Rattus norvegicus: one gene and its partner. The protein of the gene in region 1 purifies or fractionates together with the protein of each later gene. This does not show direct contact. Links are inferred from orthologs where the notes say so. Each region holds a gene or a part of one and is shown in the gene's direction. Other genes may lie near its edges.

Region 1 (3,815 bases):
ACACTAACATCGCGTATTCGGACGGCAGCGCTCTCGTTGCTGCCTGGCCCACTGCGCCCTAAAGTATGCTAACTGTTTGTTCTTCAGAAGATAAATTAATGGCATGTTCTGCAGTAGGCTAGTTCCTGTGGCATACTTCACAGCCAAGTCTTGTATAACCCAACCTTGGAGAAGTCACAGTGGCCCTAAGGGTCGGGCTCCTCCTTAGGGTTTAGCTGTTTCTGAACAATCTTTCTGGTCTGCGATCGCTCACCAAAAAGGGGGGAGGGCATTTTCTTTTTAGAATTTTTCAATCACAAAGTCATTTTGAAATATTCATTTACTTGGAGCATACTTTGCAGTTGGTGAAGTAACTTACCAGAGACAGTTTGAAGTGCACAGTGCACCCCTCCACATATCTCCCACCCACCCAGTGGGTACCAAGGAGAGTCTTCAAGGGTGGAGCTGAGCCAAAGGAGTTGTGTAGAGGGACCAGTAAGGGTTCCGTGGAGAACTGAGCCTGGGCGAGCTGTGTATCTGAGCGCAGGCCGGGATGTGGACTGCAGGTGTCATGGTCCAGGAGCTACGTCAGCAGAGGCTCTGCCATCTACTGAGGTCTAGGGTCCCCTCAGCCCAGAACCTCCCAGAACGGCCCTGAAATATCCAGTTTGCTCCCATGAGTCAGAGCACCCTGGCTCCTAGGGTACTGTTGGTTCCATCTATCCACGTGTGCTGACATGGTGGTCAGCCATGGTGTGCTGTCCCTGTGTTGCTCAAGGAGAGGGGTCATAGAAAATGTTTTACACTTGAAAACAAACCTGGGCACCCCTCCTAAGAGTGTGTGGCAATACTGAAAACAAGCCTAAATTGTTAGCGTTTGTCAGTACATAGGAGCGTCCCGTATCCGTTTTGAAATGAACATTCTACCCAGTAATAACTTTTGCATAATTCGAGTGTGTATGACTATACCTCTAAGAGAACATCAGTATAATTGTCTTTATATGGATTTCAGAATTACAAACGCCATATGGATGGCATGTACGGGCCTCCAGCCAAGCGCCACGAGGGAGACATGTACAACATGCAGTATGGCAGCCAACAGCAGGAGATGTATAACCAGTACGGAGGCTCCTACTCTGGCCCGGACAGAAGGCCCATCCAGGGACAGTATCCCTACCCCTACAATAGAGAAAGGATGCAGGGCCCAGGCCAGATGCAGCCACATGGAATCCCACCTCAGATGATGGGTGGCCCCATGCAGTCATCTTCCAATGAGGGGCCTCAGCAGAATATGTGGGCTACACGCAATGATATGCCTTATCCCTACCAGAACAGGCAAGGCCCAGGTGGCCCTGCACAGGCACCCCCTTACCCAGGCATGAACCGCACAGATGATATGATGGTACCTGATCAGAGGATCAATCACGAGAGCCAGTGGCCTTCTCATGTCAGCCAGCGCCAGCCTTATATGTCATCATCGGCCTCCATGCAACCCATCACGCGCCCACCTCAGTCATCCTACCAGACGCCGCCGTCACTGCCAAACCACATCTCCAGGGCACCCAGCCCTGCCTCCTTCCCGCGCTCCCTGGAGAGCCGCATGTCTCCAAGCAAGTCCCCCTTCCTGCCTGCCATGAAGATGCAGAAGGTCATGCCCACGGTCCCCACATCCCAGGTCACCGGACCACCCCCACAGCCACCGCCAATCAGAAGGGAGATTACCTTTCCTCCTGGCTCAGTAGAAGCATCGCAGCCAGTCCTGAAACAAAGGCGGAAGATTACCTCAAAAGATATTGGTAAGCATTAAAATGGATTAAAATGCAATCTAGAACTTTTAATACAGACACAATTCCCATCTGTCTCAATTGGATGAGAATCTCAACAGTACAAATTATAGGCTACTTATCTATGGGAGCATTGGTTAGAAGCCACGTGTCTGAATAAGAAACAGACCAGAGAAAAGCCTGAATCTAATGACACTCAGGTGCAAAGGTTGCTTGTAGAAGAGACTAGCCCTCCAGGGAGGGGCCAAACCCCTCAGTCACACAGGCTGGGTGCTGGCTTGAGCTTTAGACAAAACCAAGCCACTTGATTTCTACACTGGATGCTCGAGAGATCCACTGGAGGCCAGCCACTCTAGTGACAATGTAAGATGAGTTTCCATAGGGAGTAGGGCCTGGCCATGCTGCGCAGATAGGTAGGTATGGTATGTGAGTGCCCTCCGCTGTGATTTCCGGCACTGATGTAATCACATCACACTGGCCGACACAGTCCAAGGAGCTAACTCAGCTGAGCTAGTATTGCTTACTTGTCCTCTGCGAAGGCCATGGGCATACTAATTAGTGGTCTGGGGTGTCCGTTAGTTAACAGCTTCTTCTGCATGCATTTTGAAGTTCTTTTCACACAACAGAGGAAATAATAGCTCTTGGTTGTGTAAGAAAATTTTTTCAAAGATTTTGGAATCAATTGTCTTAAAGCCATTGGCAGTGATTAGAAAATGAAAGATTTAATTAACGATGTTAAAGATGTTTTTAGTTGTTAGACATTAAGAAGGGTATCTTGTATATGGGAACTTTAGAGAGATGATGGAACCATAGATACTGAGCCCTATTTTATAGAAATGTAAATGAAATAGCTATCTACGTTTGTGTGTTTAAATAGTCATAAATCTACTTTTTAAAAGCATATTTACTTTATGTGATATTTTGCCTGCATGTTGTATCTGCATGTGCCGACAGTGCCCAAGGAAGCAGAAGAGGGAGTTAAATCCTCAGGAACTGGGTTGCAGATGACTGTTAGCTACTGTGCGGGTGCTGGAACGCTAACCCTGGTCTTGTCCAGGAACCAGTGTGCTTAACCCCTGAGCCTTCTCTCCAGCCCTATATCTGGTTTTGAATCTTGTTTTGTTTTTAATCTCTTAGTCCAGTTTCTGTCAGTGCTTGCCTCCAACCTAGGGAGATTTTATTTTCAAAAGTCTGATCCCTTGTATGACAAAAGACATGTTTTCCTCTTAAAACACCTGTAAAGCCAAATCCCAGGAAGGACACCCTTGGACACAGCCCCTCCCTCACTGCATCATAAGACACATCATAGCACAATTGCCCCTCACACTGCACTGTAAGGAGCTGGGAGGATGGGTAGATCAGTCCCCCTCTCTCTTTCAGGTCACATCACAGGCCCCTGCAGTTTTGAAAATCTCCCAGTGTAGACTCAGGACTTGTAGTCCAGTATACCCCATCCTCAGCAAAGCTGACAGCTGTCATTTAGTCATACTTTTCTAGGGGCAGGAGTAGGAAGAGTGACAGAGAATGCAGACTTTCAGTCTCCCATTCCTGGGCACGGTCGCACCTGAAAATCAACCATTGGAGTACCTGTTCAGCCACAGCAGGGTATAGCTGTGGGAGAACACAGACATTCTCTGATGTTACACTGTTTGAGGATTACATTTTCCTCCCAAGCCAGCTCTGCTGAGCTTGACTCGATCATTACCCTTACTAAGTGGCAAAAGAAATGCTCACGATGACAGGACCATGTGTGCTGGCCATGCACTTGGGGCTCCTGTCCCACCACCAGAACACAAGAGCAAAGTAGCATGTCTACTTACCGTCCCCAGCTGAAGTCAGATGATCACACACAGCTGACTGCTGCACAGCGCTCCGCTTCCTCCTCCAGAGCTGGTGCTTACAACACCCTCTTCTCCTTTCTAGTTACTCCCGAGGCGTGGCGTGTGATGATGTCCCTTAAATCCGGTCTGTTGGCTGAGAGCACGTGGGCTTTGGACACCATCAACATTCTCCTCTATGATGACAGCACTGTCGCCACCTTCAATCTTTCCC
Region 2 (3,815 bases), about 160 Mb from region 1:
TTGCCGGCTCTCCCCAGGCTCTGTTGAGCTTGCACATACTTTGCTTCTGTCCTTCAGGGAGCCCACTGTTAGTGAAAACAGGTAATGCAGCTTATTCCAGTGCCGGCTGAACAGATACATCTCGGTTCCTGGAGAACAGAAGTGGCTGGGTTTGACTTGGCCCCTCGTGGTGTAGATTCAGCTTCAGCCCTTCTGAGTTAGCTTCATCTTGACTTGTTGCAGACACGGACCAGACTCTGAAGAAAGAGGGCCTTATCTCCCAGGATGGCAGCAGTTTAGAGGCTCTGCTGCGTACTGATCCCCTGGAGAAACGGGGTGCCCCAGATCCCCGAGTTGATGATGACAGCCTGGGCGAGTTTCCTGTTACCAACAGTCGAGCACGGAAGGTATGTCGTTCCTATCTATGGCTAAAGGACTTTAATAAGGATCAGCCTCTTTTGGGTCTACTAATTGGACCACTAATCGTGTGCCACCAAGTGCTGCTGGGAATTGAACTCAGGACCTCTGGAAGAGCAATCCGTGCTCTTAACCTCTGAGCCAATTTTTGGTCCAATTAGTAGAACTGAAGCAGATCATGGTAGAATACATGCCTGTTGATGTGTAAGCCCTAACACAAAAAACAAAAATAGCCGAAATGGAGGCGGAGGCTGCCCTGCAGTCCTGGGCTCTGCCAGCCCCAGCCTGGCTCCATCTAGCCTTCCACACTCCTTCCCAGCACAGGCTCACACACTCATTCTCTCTCACACAAGGCAAGACTGACTATTAGAGACTTAGATACCTGCTGTGACATAGGTGAAGCACACTTGGTTCCCACCTGTCAACTGGGAAGTTAATGCTAAGCTTAAAGATGAGAAGAGCTACAGATGAGCCAGGTACGCTGCTAAGTATTCCCCATATGCTTCCTCTTGTGCAGCCTCATGAGGTAGGTCCTGTGGTTCCCATTTCATTGACAGGGAGGCAGAATCAAAGCGGTTAAAACTTCCCAAGGTCAAGTAAGCAGAAAACCTTATTTAAAGTAGGACATGCATTTTGGAAGCAGAGCAGGCAGAACAGGACGAGGCTGCCTGGGGTGCCAGGAGAGCTTTATGGAAACAGTGTTTGGCTCCTGAGAGATGGAGGACAGACATTCTAGGCTAGGGGAGCAACTTGAAGAGGCACAGGGAAAAGAAAGCATTTGGGGAAGCAGTGATGGGATTGCAGGGTGAAGAATGATTGTGGATTAAGCCTCAGAGAGGCTTCTGGGTAGTTCCAGGGGGCTAATTCTATCTTGTGAGGGTGCTTTGGGATGTGCTTGACTTCTGCTCATTCCAATCTCCTGCTCCACTCAGCGGATCCTTGAACCCGATGACTTCCTAGACGACCTTGATGACGAGGACTATGAAGAAGATACTCCAAAGCGTCGGGGAAAGGGGAAATCCAAGGTGAGGAGGGAATAATGAAGTAGGCTGGTCTGTGGAGGCCAATCTTATGACATTTCTTGCTTTCTGCCTTGCTCTTCTGGCCAAGACCGCTTAGTGTTAGTGAGGGCATCATCTTTTTGGTTTTCTTGGCAGAGTAAGGGTGTGAGCAGTGCCCGGAAGAAGCTGGACGCTTCCATCCTGGAGGACCGGGATAAGCCCTATGCCTGTGACAGTGAGTGCCACCTTAGGGGTGGGTAGTTCTTGCCTCAGACCCAGCTCCTGCTCTGGATATGGGGGGGGGGGGGGGGAGGTCATGTTCTTGCACTGAGTGGTAAAACAAGCCTGGGTTCTTGTCCTGCCTGCCAACCTGGCCTTCGCTTCATAGTGGGTGGGACCTGCATGCTCTGGGGAGAGATTTCTGTGGGTCCTGGGGTGGGAGAATGAGGGAACTCAAAGCAGGCAGTGTTGGCCTCATAGTGGGCAGCATCTAGATCTGCTGACCCATCAGGGCAGGGCTCAGGGGCCGGCCAGCCCTGAGGGTTAGTGTCTGTCCTCTCTCCCTTTGCTTTGGCTTACCCTACTTCCGTGCCTCCAGCCTGAAGTGCCACTGCTGGGGTTCTCTCTCACTTGCTCTGTTTTCCTGCTGCTGCTGCCCTGTCTCAAATGTATCAAGGCCTTCTTCTCACGACTTTTCTTTCTGTCTTTCAGATAGTTTCAAACAAAAGCATACCTCGAAAGCGCCCCAGAGAGGTAGCTCTCTCAACTTTTCAGACTTGTGGTTTTCCTATCCCTTTCCCCTCTTCCCTTGTTCCTCCTACCTTTCTCATTTCCTGTGATACTAGCTTTGGAATCTGCAACGGTATGAGGGTAGTGCTGTGGTACCCGGGTTGTGCTCCATTCTCAGTCCTAGCAGCTGTCTTTACCATTGCATCACAGACTGCCTCCTATGGCCACTTGGCCTAGTGTTAACAGAAACCCATTATGGATAGATTCATCCGATGTTCCCCAAACCAGACAACAGGCAGTCAGCTCACATTTCCACCATCAACACCACCACCTCCTCCCATCCTCCCATTCCTTCCTGCTGGCCTCCTTGCTCCTCTTGGTGTCATTGCTCAAGATAAAATGCCATGTAATCTTTCCTTGTTGGTTGGCAGGGGCTGGGCAGGGCACTAGTGTGGGAATATATTTCAGTTTCTTTGCGGGAAATTATCCTGGCTGGCAGTTAGTAGGTGCTCACCAGGAGACCCACCCTCAGCCCTTTGTCTGTTCAGCTGAGATTGGCATGCACAGGGTGGCATGAGCCTGACACATCTACATAGCAGAAAAAGAGCCTGGTCTCTCCTCATCACATCCCCCTTTTTGCCATAAGGCTACACTGTAGAACATTCCCGACCTGGAGCTCCCAGACGTTACTATTTCTTGGGCAAGTTGATGCAGCAGAGGCTAAGTCCTTCTAGAAGCCAGCATGGAAAAATGTTGGTAGCTATGGGTCTGTGTTTTAGAGAGGGAAGAGAGTCCCAGAAATTAAAGAGGCCCAGGGCTTGATGCTCTTGGCTAAAGGGAAGGGACTGTCACTAAAGCTTGTGCCAGAGTAGGGACACTGGGGCAGAGGTTTCCCTTGGGCCTCATTTGGAGCTTCATAACTTGTCACAGTGGGAAAGTAGCACCTTTGTGTCCTAATATTTCTCTGCAATCTTTTTCCCACCCAGTTTGTGGAAAACGTTACAAGAACCGACCTGGCCTCAGTTACCACTATGCCCATTCCCACCTGGCTGAAGAGGAAGGAGAGGACAAAGAAGACTCCCAACCACCCACTCCTGTGTCCCAGAGGTCTGAGGAGCAGAAATGTAAGCTGAGCTGTCGGGGCAGGCAATCAGGAGAGGAACCAGCTTGTTTATAAAAATCCTCCGTCTAGAGAATGTAGGGTAACCCAGAGCTCCCTTGACCATCATCAGAGTCTTTTTCTTTTTCTGTAGCCAAGAAAGGACCTGATGGGTTGGCCCTGCCTAACAACTACTGTGACTTCTGCCTGGGAGACTCAAAAATCAACAAGAAGACAGGGCAGCCTGAGGAGCTGGTGTCCTGTTCTGACTGTGGCCGCTCAGGTACCTCCATCCTCAAAAAGCAGGGTGTACTCGGTACCCACAACCCTCCTGGCCTGCTTCCTTGAGTGCTTTTATAGTCAGGCAGCCTCCCTTACCCACTCACGCTCTGGTCTCCAGCCCACTGTCTGACTCCCTTCCTCCACAGGGCATCCGTCCTGCCTGCAGTTCACCCCTGTGATGATGGCAGCCGTGAAGACCTACCGCTGGCAGTGCATCGAGTGCAAGTGCTGCAACCTCTGCGGCACTTCAGAGAACGACGTGCGTGCCCGCTTTCTGTCAGAGCGCACCCGTTCCTCCCTAACTCTCC

The links.
Region 2: the proteins of Arid1b (region 1) and Dpf2 purify together in Homo sapiens (affinity purification with mass spectrometry; 7 studies listed by BioGRID and IntAct, counting the BioPlex papers as one, with this or other methods). This does not show direct contact. The link is inferred for Rattus norvegicus from reciprocal best matches to the Homo sapiens genes ARID1B and DPF2.

The regions. Positions count from the first base shown.
Region 1 is NC_086019.1:48,319,738-48,323,552, forward strand, and holds part of Arid1b (AT-rich interactive domain-containing protein 1B), read left to right. Parts: intron 1-991; coding exon 992-1,775; intron 1,776-3,686; coding exon 3,687-3,815. UniProt on the Homo sapiens protein: Involved in transcriptional activation and repression of select genes by chromatin remodeling (alteration of DNA-nucleosome topology).
Region 2 is NC_086019.1:212,617,985-212,621,799, reverse strand, and holds part of Dpf2 (zinc finger protein ubi-d4), read left to right. Parts: intron 1-222; coding exon 223-386; intron 387-1,328; coding exon 1,329-1,421; intron 1,422-1,553; coding exon 1,554-1,632; intron 1,633-2,108; coding exon of another isoform or gene 2,109-2,150; intron 2,151-3,112; coding exon 3,113-3,250; intron 3,251-3,379; coding exon 3,380-3,508; intron 3,509-3,653; coding exon 3,654-3,766; intron 3,767-3,815. UniProt on the Homo sapiens protein: Plays an active role in transcriptional regulation by binding modified histones H3 and H4. Is a negative regulator of myeloid differentiation of hematopoietic progenitor cells. Might also have a role in the development and maturation of lymphoid cells.